3 linked regions of the Schizosaccharomyces pombe genome follow. Changing the gene in region 3 together with the main gene of any one other region gives a genetic interaction. Each region holds a gene or a part of one and is shown on either strand. Other genes may lie near its edges.

Evidence for each region.
Region 1: of slx8 (region 3) and pmt3, a mutation in one rescues a mutant of the other (synthetic rescue), as found in Schizosaccharomyces pombe (4 studies listed by BioGRID, with this or other methods).
Region 2: of slx8 (region 3) and pli1, a mutation in one rescues a mutant of the other (synthetic rescue), as found in Schizosaccharomyces pombe (5 studies listed by BioGRID, with this or other methods).

The regions. Positions count from the first base shown.
Region 1 is NC_003423.3:2,504,475-2,511,048, reverse strand, and holds pmt3 (small ubiquitin-like modifier pmt3), read right to left. Parts: upstream 4,205-6,574; 5' UTR 4,156-4,204; coding exon 4,027-4,155; exon of another isoform or gene 3,933-4,026; coding exon 3,783-3,932; exon of another isoform or gene 3,734-3,782; coding exon 3,659-3,733; 3' UTR 3,490-3,658; coding exon of another isoform or gene 1,846-3,489; 3' UTR 1,391-1,845; coding exon of another isoform or gene 1,049-1,390; 3' UTR 999-1,048; coding exon of another isoform or gene 904-998; intron 886-903; 3' UTR 853-885; downstream 1-852. Other genes in the region: kin17 (KIN17-like protein), read left to right, coding at 1-264; Der1 family protein, read left to right, coding at 615-852, 904-998, 1,049-1,390; tmf1 (TATA element modulatory factor-like protein), read left to right, coding at 1,846-3,489; splicing factor Slu7, read left to right, coding at 4,603-5,742; SPOM_SPBC365.04C (RNA-binding and ribosome biogenesis protein), read left to right, coding at 6,051-6,574.
Region 2 is NC_003424.3:906,270-912,642, forward strand, and holds pli1 (SUMO E3 ligase Pli1), read left to right. Parts: upstream 1-2,426; 5' UTR 2,427-2,569; coding exon 2,570-2,602; intron 2,603-2,654; coding exon 2,655-4,805; 3' UTR 4,806-5,004; coding exon of another isoform or gene 5,005-5,409; 3' UTR 5,410-5,585; downstream 5,586-6,373. Other genes in the region: DNA replication factor C complex subunit Rfc4, read right to left, coding at 19-86; mini-chromosome maintenance complex-binding protein mcb1, read left to right, coding at 615-776, 821-2,164; rpl44 (ribosomal L28e protein family domain-containing protein), read right to left, coding at 5,005-5,409. UniProt on the Schizosaccharomyces pombe protein: Acts as an E3 ligase mediating SUMO/Smt3 attachment to other proteins. Involved in the maintenance of the centromere and in telomere length. Regulates recombination, via extension sumoylation, particularly within the heterochromatin repeats.
Region 3 is NC_003423.3:1,287,254-1,292,049, forward strand, and holds slx8 (SUMO-targeted ubiquitin-protein ligase E3 Slx8), read right to left. Parts: upstream 2,959-4,796; 5' UTR 2,708-2,958; coding exon 1,898-2,707; 3' UTR 1,762-1,897; coding exon of another isoform or gene 983-1,761; 3' UTR 946-982; downstream 1-945. Other genes in the region: AP-endonuclease Apn2, read left to right, coding at 153-945, 983-1,761; U3 snoRNA associated protein Dip2, read left to right, coding at 3,311-4,796. UniProt on the Schizosaccharomyces pombe protein: Mediates ubiquitination and subsequent desumoylation/degradation of sumoylated proteins and proteins containing SUMO-like domains. Acts as a critical suppressor of gross chromosomal rearrangements (GCRs) during normal cell cycle progression.

The sequences.
Region 1 (6,574 bases), 1.2 Mb from region 3:
TCCTCATCTTCAGATTCTCACTCTGCTCAAAATGAATTTTTTCAAACAAGAAATACACCCACATTTTCTTTTTCTAGTTCATCCTCCCAGACCTCCTTGAAGCACAAACCAAAAAATGTTTTTGCAGAGCTGAATAAAAGCCGTAAAAAGAACAATAAGGATTCTTTAGATCAAGGGCAGAATGTAAAAAGGCCACGGTCAGCTGTTGAAGACATTATTGCTCAAGAAACAATGAGAGAGAAAAGACGCAATATAAAGCTCTAACCGGAGAATTGACGTTTTTAAAAGGCTTCAAAAGTGAGAATTTATTTATTGGTTTATTATTTATAAAAAAAATACGCTTGTACTTGTACTTTTACTTTTAATGTAGCTTATTTAACCGTATATGTGTTATTTAGTAGCCTTTCTGCTAGCTTAGTCTACTTGATTTGAAGGTGCTGTAAAATACATGAAAGCTCCAAATTTCATATAATTTTGCTTTCACTTGATCTAAGTTAGAGATTTAATAACTTATATTTTACTATAGTACATATATATGAAAATGTTCGATACGTTAGTAATTGTAGCACAATTCCGTATACAACCTTGCCTGAACAAACATAATCAGTTAAGACATGGCTTCGGAATTTTCCGGTCAAATACAAGAATTGCTGTCTAGAATACCTCCTGTAACAAGGTATATTCTGCTTGGAACAGCAGCTACCACAATTTTAACTTTATGTCAACTTCTTTCACCTTCGATGCTAGTTCTGCATTATCCGTTAGTCGTTCGTCAGAAACAATGGTATCGTTTATTTACTAATTATCTCTATGCTGGAACTGGATTTGATTTTATCATGAACATTTATTTTTGTACGTAAATCCATTAAAACCTGTATTTAAATTCTAACGTTTTGTCAATAGTTTACCAATATAGCACATACCTGGAAAACTTTGTCTTTGCTAGGAATGCAAAAAAATACATTATTTATTTAGTTAAAGTTGCTCTTTTAATTGATGTAAGGAGTATTTGAAGGTCTAAAGTATGCTTATTAACGTTTCTCTTTAGGCATTTTCCTTGATCTCAGGACTTGGAAGCGCGTTAAATCAATCGCTTGCCGCTGCCATTGCTTATAATTGGTCTTTGTTTAACTCATTTTCCAAAATCCAGTTTTTGTTTGGTTTTCATGTTCAAGGCAAATATTTGCCATATGTTCTTCTTGGCTTCAGCTTTCTAACCGGAGGTCTTCCATCTCTAGTAGTATTGGGTTTTGGTATTATCTCTGCAATGATCGTCAATTTTTTTGATTCGATTCACACTCCTGTTGTCCATCGCTCCAACTCTCCCAAATTGAATTCCCAAAAGGTGTCTGGAACATTCATTGGGAAGGGCAAAAAGTTAGGCACTTAATTTTTCATATTGATGATTTCATTAAGTGCGTTAAAAACAGTCGATACGTGTTCGAAATTTTTATCAATATTTCTTACTCCATTCATCACCTGTCGAGTCTGGTAGGCAAACTTTCACAATTTTCAATAATGCATCAATGAGTTCCACTATTTCAAATTTTTGATGAATAATATTTCACTTCTTTCCTGTACGAACACGACGGCTTTCTCATTCATATGCTGATAGCTAAAAATCCGAACTACACTAATTTGTTGAAATGTAGCCCTTTATTATAATGTTCTTATCTAAATTTCTTTTTTTATCCTTCACCAATAGACTAAAGTAAACATATGTACAAATTGACGTGCGAGGCATATGCACTTAGAAATCTTTTATTTTACGTTCATAAAGTAAAGTGGGCCTATACCACGTAGAGTACACAGATCAACTACCAGCCAGTGTACGGTGAAGCAGGCATGGAGAATTCAAAATGGGGAGGTTTTCTTAAGAAAGCAATGTCAAATGTTGAAACCAGTATTGACAAAGTCTTAGACGGTAATCAGATTGAGGAGATGTCACGAGGAAATGCAAAATCAAAAGATGAGATTATCGCAAAGCTTCTTACGGAAGGACAGGCGCTTTCAAAAAATGAGTTAAAGTTAAACAATACAATTAAGCAACTTAAAAAGAGTTTAAGTGAAGCTGAAACAAAGTTGAAGCGCCTAGACGAGAAACAAGCGACTCCGGAATTACAGGTATCTGACTCAAAGGAGATGGAGGAACAATTGGAACTACAAAAGTCTCAATTTGAAAAGAGGATATCAATTTTAGAGAAAGAAAAGGAGGATCTTCAAAGAAAAATGGAAGAACTTACAGTAGAAAGCATGGAGGTTGTTCGTCTTACGCGTCAAGTAGAGACCCTCTCAACCCAGTATTCGATTCAAAGGAGTCAATGGGTACGTGAAGATGAAAAGAAGAAAAAGGAAATTCAAGACCTGAAAGAACTTTATGAGAAATCCGAGCATGGTGCAAAGAATTGGGAAAGGGAACGTGAGACTTTCCAGAATCAAGTATCTCAAATGTCTAAACAGTTAGATTCATTGGAGAAACTTTGTGAAAGGAAAGATGAAGAAATAAGGAGTTCTCAGGCTTTTAATATGACATTGAGAGAGGAAAATGATACTTTAGCAGCCCAAAATTTGGACTTACAAACACAACTAGACCGATTACAAAGGGAGCTTGACACTAATATAAGAAGTAATGTTAAATCTAAGCCTAAAAAAATTGTCACTACAGGAGGAATTCCTGAAAATAATGATTATACGGTTGGAAAGGTAGATACGCTTAAAGTCACCAAAGAAGATGAAGATCCCACTACCCCTACTAATGCTATTCCGATACCTTCATCTATGAGCAAGCGTGATGAAGCTTTAGAAAATGACAAAGATAATTATTTTGACGACCTACATCCCTTAAATATTTCAACAAGTCCGCAACCATCTCCTTTGAGTTTTTCAGAAATCCCACAAAGCGATACACGGAATGCTTTAGAAAACTTTTTGGATAATCTTCCTTCCCCTTCAGAAGAGAGATCCAGAATTTCCAGATCAGCATCAGAAGCGCGAAAGTTGGGTATAAACGCTCAGTCAAGGTATGCTTCCATAAGCAGTGCAGTTCTTTCTCCTCCTTCGGAAGCTTCAAGAAAATTTAGCCTATACGAATCTGAGGCAATATCACCAACATCAGGGACACCCAGCAATCTTGAAAAAGGTGCCGGGAATGTTCCTGATGTTAGTCTTTTGGAGCAACTTGCTACCACAATTCGCCGATTAGAAGCCGAACTACAAACAACTAAGCAGCAAGTAGCGCAACTTATAATCCAAAGAGATCAGGCCCGTCAAGAAATTGTTGATGCCTATGTAAATAATGATGCAAATGAAGATTCAAAAAAGCAAGTGGAAGAGCTTAGACTACAATTACAGAACCTCGAAAAAGAGCATGCCAGTACGTTGGTAACACTTAAGCAGAAAAGTGACAAAGTGTTTGAATTAGAGCTGGACATTAAGGATATGCGTGAACTTTATGTCAGTCAAATTGATATATTGGCAGGCAGGCAATAACGTTTGGAAAAACTTGTATTAAAAAAAAATAATTTTAATATAAATCATTTTATTTAATTTCATTGATTCTTTCAAATATTTTGAGCGACGATGCTGGAGATGATAAACGTATTGGCAAAATCAAAATATTAGTTTTGAGTATATGAAACAGCTTAAAAATACTTGTACTCTAAAGGCATAGATGGGTGCAACCACCTAACTGTTCTAAGACAGCCTCAATTTGATCGCCATCTTCCATATCAAGCTAAATGTATAGTTAGTACCGGCTTTTGTTGTAAAAGTTTAAAACTTACCTCAGCAGGTGTTTGATCTGGACGAATACGTTCCCCATCAACAAGGAAACGTAAGCTGTTCATACTTTTTCCTTGTCGTGCACAATAAATCTTCATTAACTTGCTGAACTCAGTGGTCTTTTTAATTTTGAAAAATACTTCGTTGTTATCCTACATCAAGTTAGCTTCACGATTCGTGCATTAAAGACTTTTGAAAGCAAAAGATGACAGGAATAGCATGAAAGTCTCTTGCTGTAGCACACACCTGTCCGACAACTTTCAAATTGATATGCTCTGTGGATGGTTTGACATCTTGTTGCGAAGTGTCACCTGTGGTAGGAGTGATAGCACTTTTGTCAGCATCAGAAATGTTTGCTGATGGTGATTCAGACATTTTTTCTCAGATACTATATAAAATCGAATATACAGGTACAGGGGGGTACAATCAAATTCTCATAGATCAGGAATGACTGTTGTGATTGTTTGAAGCAAGAATAGCGTAATGTGGTATATAATATAACGTGTATAAATCTACTCCACTATTTTGTTTAGTTGTGTCTTAAAGCTACGTTAATTATTTGCTTACTACGTTTACTCTGCTTATAACAATGGTTAGAAAACCGTAAACTGCAAATCTACAAGAATTTTTGAAACGCTAGCAAATATTTGTCGAACTATAAAAATAAAGCCGTCGATAAATAAGCCGGTTTATATCGTTTTGTTATAAAAGACAATTTTGTTGATTTCATCGGTGTTAAACCTTTACTTGAATCTTTTTAATATTTTCGAATTAATTGGCATAATAATCAAGCATTAATATTCTTATTTATTTACCTTAAAAATGTCTTATATGAATAATACTTTTCAATCTAATTATGATTATTCTAAGGACAAAAACTTTATGTCAACAGACATTGGACCTTCGATGCGTGAAATGAAGGCACAGAAGCGTCGTAGTCGTCCTATGGATAATCCAGATGCTGATAATCCCTATATTCCTAAATTCATTTCAACCGCTCCTTGGTATGCTCAGGATGATGATGCGGTCGAAAGATTAGCCCATCAAAGGATAGGCAAGAAAGAGACACCAAGTGGTGGTCGTTCCTCCATTGAAGGCTCTTGGTACGTTAGAGGGAAAAAATTAGGACCTGCTGCTACAAAATATCGAAAGGGTGCTTGTGAGAATTGTGGAGCCATGTCCCATAAAGTTAAAGATTGCATGGAGCGACCAAGAAAGCGGGGTGCTCGTTGGACAGGAGAAGATATTCAAGCAGACGAAGTTATTCAAGATATCAACGTTTCATGGGATGCGAAACGTGATCGTTGGAATGGCTATGATGCCACGGATTATAAGAAAGTTATTGAGAGATATGAAAAATTGGACGAATTACAAAATAAGGGGGAAGAGAATAGGGATGCGTCAGAAAATTCTGCTGTTAAAGCATCAAGAAATTCCACCGTTTCTGGTTCCGAAGATTCTGCATCCATAACTACACCAAGCCTTAGAATGCGAGAAGATGTGGTGGCGTATTTGCGAGCTGACAATAAAAACTTACAATATGAACCCAAATCCAGATCAATGAGAGACGAAACTGGATATCATATGGTGGATGATTCTTCTGGAGGTGCTGGCTTTGTCAAAGCATCTGGTGGTGAAAAAGAAGACTTCGAAAAACTACAAATGTTTGCCTGGGAAGCTGAGCGTTCTGGAACTCGTGTCCATGTTGTAGCCAATCCAACAGCTGGTGAGCTGGAATTTCGAAAAAACAAGGCATCTCGTATGACTACCCAGAAACATATTGATCAAAGCATATTAGATCGTTATGGGGATGGTACCTCTAAAGTGAAAGACAAAAAAGCAAAAAATAACGAAAAAGAAGTTCCGGATTTAGCTATTCTTGATAAATCTGAAAAAAGCAAAGGAGAGTCGAACACAGATGAAGAATCCGAAAACTTAGTTATTGTTGAAGGGGACTTATGATTTTATTTATATATCTAATAATATCTAATAATGACTGAATGTACTGCAATGACATTTTTCTAAATATAACACTAATTAACTTGTTATTATTTCTTTAAATTTTATCTTACTTCGTTGAACAAGAGACTTCTGATATTGTCTAGCGATGGTGCAATTGTACTTTCCAGATTTGTTTAACGAAGTTTTAAGAAACTTTGTTATGTATACATTCTGTCAGAAGGGTAAACATCGTTAAAATATTCTTGCCTATGGATAGAGGAACTTTTGTACTGAACACCTTCAATTCTCCATTATCAAATTTTTATTTAATGTCTTCGAAACTATCGAAAAAGAAATTAAAATCTTTGGAATACCGCTCCAAAAAATTTGATAAAAAGTCGCAAAGTTTGGAAGAGCATGAGAAGAAAGTACAGCAAAAGAATGAGGAATTAGAAAAGAAAGCCGCTGACAAAATATCGAGAGATGAACTACCAGAAAAGCAACTAGCACAATCAAATGATAAAGATAAACATAGCGTTTCAAATCCCCCTCATAAAACTTTGAAAAGCAAACGACAGAAAGGGAAAAATAATGACAGAAAGGTCATTTTGTTTGTTGGTAATTTGCCTAAGGATTCTTCTGTTGAAACTCTACAACTTCATTTCAAACGCGCAGGTCAAGTTCCTTCGGTTCGTATTCCTACCGATAAAACTAGTGGTCGTCAGAAAGGATATGCATTCGTTGAGTTTATAAATCCCAAGACCGATGTTATTTCAAAAGCTTTAAAGTTTCATCATACTATTTATAAGGAAAGGAAAATCAATATTGAATTAACTGCCGGAGGAGGCGGCAA
Region 2 (6,373 bases), on a different chromosome or scaffold from region 3:
CTCATAATATATACATACCATGGCAGCTCATAAGCTACAGAGTTATTTTTCTCTCCAAATACTGATGATGATACTGCATTACTCATATTCAGTGTTATTGAACTAGTAACATCAGTACTGAGTTCCAGTGAACTAGTAAATTTGTTGAGTATTTTAACCACTGCATGGTAGTCACTTCACCCATCGCGAATAGAAAAGAGCATTAATATGTAAATCTGAAAATTTTTTTTATTCTTAAATGCACTATCAAAGCTAGCTTTAAAATATATGTTTGTACAATCGACACAAATGATGAAAACAAGCACATCAATATATTTATATTATTACAAAAACGATCAATAATCTGTAAAATTCTAATATTTTTCTCTTTTAAGAGTAGTAATAAGCAATAGATAACTCTTTAAATTCACGCCTTCTGTTTCTTAATAAATTAAGCTTCTTATTAAGCGAATTTATACAGCAATTAGTACATCGTTAGGTATATGCAACGCCATAGAAAAGGGTACTTAAAGTCAATCCGCTCACGTGAAATGAACATTGCACATTGCAATATCAACATCTTTTATCATTACTGGTTTCAATAGGTTTAAAGGATAAAATTATATATTTATAATATGGTAATTGCTTTATCTGATTCTTTTATCGAAAATCCAAGATCGTTTCTTCAAAGATTTCAGGATGCATTGTTTGCAGGATCTAAGCCCGATTTACAAGGCACTTTAGGCATCGATGAAGAAGTTTCTAATATTTTCGCTACAGAGGAAAGAATAAGAAAGGTTTGTTAAGTGGTTTTTTCTCTTATTTGACACTGAATATTTAGATTCCAAACTATCTTGACTGCAAATGGTCTGAGTTAAAGACTGGTCAACTACTTCGTCTTCAAGGTATGGTGCAAGACACCAATTTTGGGCATGAATTTTTTGCTGGAGCTGTAGAGGTAAATGAAAACATTTGGAGAGGCTGTAGATACATACTTGATTTCAGCGAAGATGAAATGCATTTAGATGAATCTAAAATTGTCCTAGATGAAAGATATTCACTGTTTCTGACAAATGTTCCTGGAGAAAGAACTCTTCCTGTTATAGAAGCTTTGGGAAACTGGGGAAGCGAGAGTCTGAAAGAACGGTCATTGAAGTACTCAAACCGCTTACAAGCAAGTAATGATACCGGCGTTTGTGTTAAATGCTATGGCGGAATGGAAACTAAAGTTCAAGTTTGTCAAGCAATCGATGTTATTGGAATTTATGAAGAACCAAGTGAATACTCGGATGGTTTACCCATTTTACACATGTTATGTTTTAAGGATTATACGCAATCAGCTACTCAAGCCCCTTCTCCTCAGCAAGCTGAGATCATTCGACCAAAAATATTAAAATATTTTGAAAAAGTCCTTGGTGAAAATATAGCTGCGGAAAGTCTTATGCTTGCTCTTCTTTCCAACGTTGTTCATAAAACCACTGGTTTGGTTATAGGTGGTTTTACTTTAAATTTAACAAATTGCACCTCTGAATTAGTGTCCCAGTTAGTTTCTGTGTTACGGCCTTTGATAAAAAGAATGGTGATTCAAAAAGTTAATGTCGCCGAGCTTAACAGGAAGCCGCTTTATCCCTTGAGTGATGGAGAGACATTAGATACTAGCCATTTGCAAGTGGCTCCTGGCACCCTTATAGTTCTTGATGAAACTGAACTATCGAGTGGAACCTTAAACGATGTCGGATGCCGTAACGTTCAGTTTTTGTCTTCCCTAATATCTCAACAGGATTTAACATTTTTTTATCCTTTCAGTTCTTTTACCGTTCACAGTAATGTTCGAATAATTATATTAAGCCATGGAAGATCTATTTTGCCAGCTGATGTCGGTTGTAGATGTAGAGGCGATTCTCCGGACACTATTGAATTTCCAACTGATTCGGATGAGCTGCAAGAGTTTTGTAATTTTTTTCACATGTGGAACATGCGTGCTAATATTCCCGAAAACATGCTGGATTATATTCAATCTACATATGTGAGCTCCCGTCAATATAATAAAGAAATCAATGAAAAAACACTTTCATTACAGATCAATTGCTCTCGTCTCTACGCGAAGAGTTTCGGTCGTCAACTGGTTTCAAGAATTGATTTTGAGGCTGCCCGTAGTCTAATCAATCATTGGACTGTCAACTGATTGATCGCATATTTTCTTATAATCAACATCATTTAACCAATGTTAGAAATTACTTTTCATGTCTTTTTGGAATTTCCAAGTTAATTTCCTCATTCATTCGATCAAATTCATCAAAAGTTCATTTATATTGTTATTTAATTATTACTACAAGTAAAGCTCACTTGCCCGTTTTTTTTTTGTTTTCTTACATTATCACATACCGCACTGCCATATACTTCCTTATCTTCAAATATTAAATTCAAGTTTTGCCAACCAGGCGTTTGCAGAGATTCAAGGAATAAATATAATTCATTGTATTTTTAGCTAAAATTTGATTTCTTTGTCTTTCAAATACCTATACGGAAGCAGTCATTGCATATAACATATGTGTAAATCGACGGTTTAGGCAAGCAGTCTAAAAACTCAATGAACCAGGCGAACTTTTTACAGGAGCTTCCAGTAAGCCCAATAATAAGATATTTACAAGTTAACTAACAAAATGAATGTTTAGAATGTACTAAAGCGACTGGAAACTGGTCTTATTATACCTCAACTGAAAGATATACTTCGTGTTTTTGGACTTCGTCTTTCAGGAACAAAAGCTGAGCTCATTACCAGAATTAAACAACTAATAGAGAGGATAGCTATAGAAAACAACACAACCTCTTGGGAAGCATTGAAAAAGGCAATCGATGGCGATGTTACAAGTGCCGTATGTATCTTAAAGTACAACACATATCAGATATATAGTGCTGCTGCTCCAATTGCTCCACCTAGTTCAGCTTCTGGAAATAGATCATACAGCCGTCCTTTCGCCCCAGTTGTTCATTCGCGAATACGATTTCGAAAAAGTCCCTTTTATGACATTTTGGAACAATTCAATGCACCTTTCGTTGTACCTGCTTGTGTCGGCACTCGTAATACTATCTCCTTCTCTTTTCATGTAACTCCCCCTGCTCTATCAAAATTACTTAATGATCCTAAACAATATCGTGTTTATCTTTTTTCTACGCCCTCAGAAACCATAGGCTTCGGTAATTGCTTAATGGAGTTTCCAACTCCTCAAATGGAGTTGCGTATAAATAATCAAGTTGCTCATGCTAATTATCGAAGGCTGAAGGGGAAACCTGGGACAACAAATCCGGCTGACATAACCGATTTAGTCTCCAAGTACGCCGGTCCTCCTGGTAATAACGTTGTCATTTACTATATGAATTCTACAAAAAGCTATTCTGTTGTGGTTTGCTTTGTTAAAGTGTATACAATTGAAAACCTTGTGGATCAAATAAAGAGCAGAAAAGCTGAGTCAAAAGAAAAAATTATTGAGCGTATAAAAAATGACAATCAGGATGCCGATATTATCGCTACATCAACTGATATATCTTTAAAGTGCCCCTTGTCTTTTTCTCGAATATCACTACCAGTGCGATCTGTATTTTGTAAGCATATCCAATGCTTTGATGCTTCTGCTTTTCTAGAAATGAATAAACAGACACCTTCTTGGATGTGTCCAGTATGCGCTTCCCATATCCAGTTTTCCGACCTTATAATTGATGGTTTTATGCAACATATTTTAGAAAGTACTCCAAGCAATTCAGAAACTATTACTGTTGATCCCGAAGGAAACTGGAAACTAAATACGTTTGATGAACCCGTCGAAAGCTCGGAAGATGAATTTGTACCAAAAGAAAAGGTAATCGAATTGAGCGATGGGGAAGGTATCTCTACGATGGCTAACAAGTCCAATGATCAACCTACGAGGAGGGCATCTACTCATAATTCTGGTCCACCTGCAAAGAGGAAACGTGAGTCACTTGTAATTGATTTAACAATATCTGATGATGATGAAAATGTGGCAACATCCACGACGGAATCGCCATCTAATGCTACAAAGGAGAACTCTTTGAGTCGAAATGTACAGTCACCTAACATCGACACTGCCATATCGAACAGGTCAACAAACGTCAGACATGGTCACCCGGGGTTCAAAGACTACACGGTTGAAAACTCCCCAGCATCAAGAGAGCGTTCTACAAGTGAAAGCGCTCAATCCTCTGTCCATATGGGATATGCTGGCGAAGGCGGACTGTTATCCGGTGCTTTAAGGGCCCCTTCTCAACAAAATAATAACAATTCGAATACACAGCACTCAATAAACTTACATACAATAGTGCCGTCTCCTTATGAACCACCCTTATCCGTTACTCCTTCAACGGCAATTACTAATCTCTCCATACCAGAAAGTAACAGGACTAATTCATCTGCCAGTTCTAAAAGCTTCACCATGAATGATTTAATTCTTCCACCGTTGCACTTGAAAAATACAACTCAAACTAATAACGCACATGAGGATGCCCAGTCGTCCAATCTCTCTCAAAACCATAGTCTGTTTTATGAAAGAATACCCCAACGACCCTCTTATAGAATTGAAAAGCAAAATAAGGGTATATATGAAGATGAGAATGAACAAAGTATTTCTGCGATGCCCATACCTCGAGCACATCCTCAACTGCCAAAGAATTTGTTGTCGCAGACGGCTGGACCGCTGTGGGATGAACAACAAGATGCTCAAGTAGACTGGAATTCTGAGTTACAGTCAAATAACTCCTATCATAATTCCGGATTTGAAGGAACGGGAAACACTTTTCAGAGTATAGATTAATAACTGTGAATAACGTTATGCTAATTACCATTATATTATTAGTTTAAATTAAATCTCAACTTTTTTATTTACAATACAGTCTCAAAAAACAAAGCCAACATCTACAAGCTATCGTATACAATCAAGCCTATTATCAATCATGGAAGCATAATAGAGATTTGTTTATAGTCCTTTAAAGATTTTATTTAAAACCATCAGTCTAAGCAACAGTCTTCTTGGGGCGTTGAGAAGAAAGAATAGCGGAGGCACGGGCAACGGAAACCTTGACAAGATCATCACGATAGCCAGTTCTGCCGATACGACCAGCAATGCTCTTATAGGTCTTACGAGAAGAAGCGTTGGCAATGACATCCTTGCGGAAAAGCTTGGCAGGCTTTTGAGCATTCTTGGGATTGGTCTTGGTAATTAAAACAACACCACGGGGGCTGTTAGCTTGGACACCAACGGCTTTGTCATTGCAGAGACCAGAGAAGCGTTGAGCGTTCTTGCCAGAAACGTTAACGGGCTCACGGTTGAATTGAATGCCACCGAATTCGGGACGCTTAACAAGAAAGCGGTTGTTGTCACGGATAACTTGCCAGATGAGATCGTTGCTAACAGACATGGTGAAAGTGCTGGACAAATTCACATGCCAAAGTTTGGAAAGTACTTGCATGTGACTGCCTTTTTTGTAAAGGTCAAAATATTTTGTATTTCCCAAATATCGAGATAAATTGAAGTACGTTAAATGTTTAGATTGAATTTCTCGTTTTAAGTAAATGATAATGTTTGAACAGCCCAGTTTTCATTTGTATTTAGATCATTCAGTTGCTTTTAGACTTGCTTCCAATGAAAGCTTCACAATGAATACCGTGTAAGTTGCCTGATCATATAAAGCTGATTACCAATTTGAGTAAGTATTTAAGCTTGCGATATTTTTGTTGGTGTAATTATCCTTAGCAATGGTACTCTTGTTTTTATAAAGGAGTATATGTTGCTTATGTTATGGCTTAACAGACGTTTCTGAAAACTTAACACAAATTATTGATATCAAAGTTGCATACCAAGCATTCAAACAATCTCATAAATTGAAAATGAAGTAAATTTATTATTTCTTTCCGGACTTTAACAGTGGAATGTTTAAAGAATTAATAATTAAAGATCTACAAAAATAATAACCTACAGCACCCCGGATTCCCATGTTGTCTCCAACCATAGTACTAACGAGGCCCTCAGACGCTTAACTGCAGTGATCGAACGGGAACTGGTGTTTTCGCCTAGGTATGGCCGTAGATATTCGTTCTAAGAATTTAATTAATTTAATGTGTAAACAGTTGTCCGAACGGTAGCAAACTTAGCGGAATCATGTTATGGTAAACTAAATTCCGTTACAACTTTCCTTTTTTTTAGAATTTTATAAATACACAAGAAGAATACACTAACTAATTATTTAAAGAGCACAAGTTGTTTATCTGATTTTTTTGGCAGAGTAGATTTTTTTTGAAGTAAAAGTTTAGGGTTTATGAGAAATGCGACAACAAATACTCACTCAAAACAACTTACTTAAAATGGTGTATATTTAAAGTTGA
Region 3 (4,796 bases):
TAGGGAGAAGGTCGAAAAGAAAAGAAAAAGTTCATTCTCGAATTAAACAAATGCATTTTATTTTCCATCAGATTAACTTATGTCAACAATTGTAAATTCAAAAGTCTGTCGCCTTTACCTTCGCACACTTTCTCTACGTAAAAATTATAAGAATGCGAATTCTAAGTTGGAATGTGAACGGTATACAGAATCCATTCAATTATTTTCCATGGAATAAAAAAAATTCCTACAAAGAGATATTTCAAGAGTTACAGGCTGATGTAATATGTGTTCAAGAATTGAAAATGCAGAAAGACAGCTTTCCTCAACAATATGCAGTTGTTGAGGGATTCGACAGTTATTTTACATTTCCTAAGATCAGAAAAGGCTATAGTGGGGTTGGATTTTATGTAAAAAAAGATGTTGCTATTCCAGTGAAAGCAGAAGAGGGAATTACTGGCATCCTGCCAGTACGAGGACAAAAATATTCATATTCAGAAGCACCGGAGCATGAAAAGATAGGATTTTTCCCAAAAGACATTGACAGAAAAACTGCTAATTGGATTGATAGTGAAGGAAGGTGTATATTATTAGATTTTCAGATGTTCATCCTAATCGGTGTTTACTGTCCAGTAAACTCTGGAGAAAATAGACTAGAATATCGACGGGCCTTTTATAAAGCCTTACGAGAAAGAATTGAAAGATTGATAAAGGAAGGAAATCGAAAAATCATTCTCGTTGGGGATGTGAATATTTTGTGTAATCCTATTGACACTGCTGATCAAAAAGACATTATTCGAGAGAGTCTTATTCCAAGCATCATGGAATCAAGACAATGGATACGTGATTTATTACTACCAAGCAGGTTGGGACTACTGTTGGACATTGGCCGTATTCAACATCCTACTCGGAAAGGAATGTTTACATGTTGGAATACAAGACTTAATACAAGGCCCACAAATTATGGTAAGTTCTGAATTGTTATTTTTTTTACAATGGATAGGTACGAGAATTGATTACACTTTGGCAACACCCGATTTATTACCTTGGGTTCAAGATGCAGATATTATGGCTGAGGTCATGGGTTCAGATCATTGCCCCGTATATTTAGATTTAAAAGAAGAATATGAAGGAAAAAAGTTGTCCAACTTTCTAAGTCACTCAAAAGAACCACCTTTACTATCAACGGCGCATCATTCAGCCTATCGGCCATCAAAAAATATTCATTCAATGTTCCAACATTTCAATTCGATGAAAAAGAATAAAAACAACTCACCCACTCAGAGCGAAAACGTATCTGCTTCTGCGTCCAGCGGCTCCTCACCAACTGTTTCTCGTGCAAACTCTGTCATAGACGTCGATGCCTACCCACCGGAAAAGAGAAGACGAAAAGAACAATCGAAGCTTCTTTCATTTTTTGCGAAGCAAAAGGAAGAGAAAGAAGAAACCAATAAAACAGAAGACGTTTCGATTGAGGTCCTTGATAACAATAATGAATCTGACATAGGGTTGACAGTAAAAAAAAAAGTAGAAAACGGGAACGCCTGGAAGCAAATATTCAGTGAACGAGCTCCTCCACTTTGTGAGGGTCACAAGGAACCTTGCAAGTATTTGACAGTGAGGAAGCCGGGAATCAATTACGGGCGGAAGTTTTGGATTTGTGCCAGACCGGTTGGTGAACTGATTAAAAACTCAAATGCAGTTTCTGAGGAAGATACTCAACCGTTCCAATGCAGGTTCTTTATCTGGGACTCAGATTGGAGAGCAAATTCAAAGGACTGAAAATTTGTAATGACTAGCATAACTTGCTCTTAATCAATTCTCAATTTTGATGTGTATAAACCGCAAAAAGCATTGAGCAGTGCATCACACATCTTTCATTAACATTCTTAATATGTATATACGGAATTTTGTACGGTTAAGATTTCTTTTTTTGAGATCCGAGCATCATTTCCAAACATATAACTTTGTTTGGATGTACTTTTCTTCTGCACACCGGACATTTTTGTGTGGCAGCCGTTGTACCTAAAGCACTTAGTATACAAAAATTGCAAAATATATGCCCACAGGGAGTACAAGATAGGTTTTCCGGACTATCCAGACAAATTACACACTTATAATCAGCTAGTCGTTGTGAAGATGGAACAACCTGTTTTTTGCTAGGTTCTTCTTTTTCAATTTCGGCGTTGGTGGTCGATGGGTTCTTTCCCTGTTCAAATTTTTGTTTTCTTGGATCATAGGAAGTCTCATCAGTTAAATCAATCATATCGCTTATAGTAGTAGGTTGCGCGTGAATACTATTAACATTTGTTAAACTGTTTTCAACGGAAGCTGGATGATTGTTGTAGGTGAATCTTTGATTTATGTCATCAGCATCATTCTGAAAATTAATGTCTTCCAAGTCGAATACTTCACTTTCCACATCTATGTTTAAATCAGAGGTTTCAACAGGTAGTGTTTCTTCTTGTGCTAGCTCCGAAGCAACCTCTCTTAGCGACCTTGGTGCACGATTCAGTGGTAAAGACTCATTCTCAGAGGTAGTGCCTGAAGGATAGTCTGTTGCATCTTCTGAAACCGGAAATCCGTTTCCTGGCGAATTCTCTACTGGAGAAGAACGTCTCCTATTTATTGCTGCATTTCCAGCTGCGACTCTAGCGGATTGAGATGGGATATTGTATGGTGCAGATAAGTTTCTAACGTTGGTATCTCTCTTATGTGCGGGTGGCATTTTTTTGCCAATTGGTCCTGAAATTCGAAAATAGTTTATAGATTATTGATTAATGGGCTAATATTAGGATAATTTTGATCGTATCCTAATCGATTGTCAAATGCTTTTCAGGCTTGCTAGAATAATAAAAGAGAATTGTGTTAACGTCAATATACGCAAACAGCAATTATTTTGGCAACTTGCCAACAAGTTTAAAATTAAATTTAGTAGACCTATGATTTTTGAAGTCTACATGGAAAAATTGGCTCACTACCACAATGTTGTAAGATGCTAGTCTAATTAATATTTATGACCTTTTTCATGAGCACATTCAATAGCGCAAGCGGTATTTCAAATAAGAAAAGAGAACAGAAAAGCTGGTAAAACTTAATTGTGTATCAATAATCTTTTCAATGCAGTTCATTAAACTGCGCAACCGACATTATTATGAGTATTCCATAAACTATGCAAAAATGTATTATGGAGTGCATTAAGGAATGCTAAAATAAAAAAACGATAACAATGTATATCGCTATTTCTTTTCCAAATTGTTGAATATTAGAGGAGTGTATATACTTAGCATCAACCAACGCCTTTTTTTTAATCTAGGTCTGGGTAGACGCAATGGTCAAAAGCTATACGCGGTACGAACCAACCGAATTTTTTGGTGTCATTGCGTCTTCGGGATGTAATATTCTCGGTCAACCCTCTTCGTCTGCTAAATCTGTAGGCAGAGCCATTGTTGGCGGTCTTGAGTCTGTTTTGGAATGGGATTTAAAGACTGGGCAATTACTATCAAAATGGAAGGATTCTGATTGTTCGGCAAAAGTTACTTGTATTGCAAACTTTGATGAAATGTACGCTGTGGGCTATGCAGATGGTTCTATACGTCTTTGGAAAGATGGAGAGCTCTTAATAACTCTTAATGGTCATAAAAGTGCTGTTACTACCATGGATTTTGATAAAATGGGCACAAGATTGGCCAGTGGAAGCATGGATACCGACATTATTGTATGGGATATTGTAGCTGAAACCGGCTTGTTTAGACTACGTGGACACAAGGACCAAATTACCAAGCTTTTGTTCATTACACCTCCTTCGAAGAATACAGCTGAAGAAACAGTGGTGGACACAGATATTGATTCCGGCGACATGGACGTTGACAGTAAATCGTCTGATTCGTTTCTTTTGTCTGTTGGCAAAGATTCTTTTATGAAGCTTTGGGATTTGTCTATTCAGCATTGCGTTGAGACTCATGTCGACCACCAAGGCGAAATTTGGGCTATGTGTGTTTCACCAGACGCCAAACGGTGCCTCACTGCTGGTACCGGTTCTGATGTTAAAGTTTGGGAAATCAGTTTTCCAGATGACAATAATTTCACTCCAACTACTAAAGCATTTCAGCAATTAGGTACCTTTACCCGTCAAAGCCGTGACCGTCCCATCACCTTGGCTTACGACGTTTCAAACCGTTATGTTGTATTCCAAGCTCATGACCGTCTTCTGGAGGTTTTTCGCCTTCGATCAAGTGCGGAGCTCGAAAAGATTCTGAATCGACGACGCCGTCGTAAAAAGTCTGAGGACGTTTCGATCACGTTAAAAGACGAATATGAACCTTTTGCTCTAATTCGAACCACTGCTCGTGCTTCGTCTGTAGCTTGGATACCAGGAAATCGTACACCTACGTTGGTAACATCTCTTCAAAATAACTCAATTGAAGTTTACGCTTTGGATGTCAAATCTGAAGGTTCTGCTGCACCATTAACTGAACGGGCTTCGCGTATAAGTGCCATTGAAATTCCTGGTCATCGTGCTGACGTTCGTACCTTGGCTTTGTCCGCTAATCACGATGTGATTTTAAGCGGTGCTAACGGCTCTTTGAAGCTTTGGAACAAGAAAACCACATCTTGTATCCGTACAATCGAATGTGGTTATGTACTTGCTGCTAGCTTTATAAATAACGACAAGTGTATCGTATCCGCTTACAAATCAGGAGAACTTGAAGTCTATGACATTGCTAGCTCTTCTCTTATCGAACGTATCCAAGCTCACGATGGCGCGATTTGGGATTTAGCGGTTGGTCACGATGGCACTTACTTCGCGACTGCCT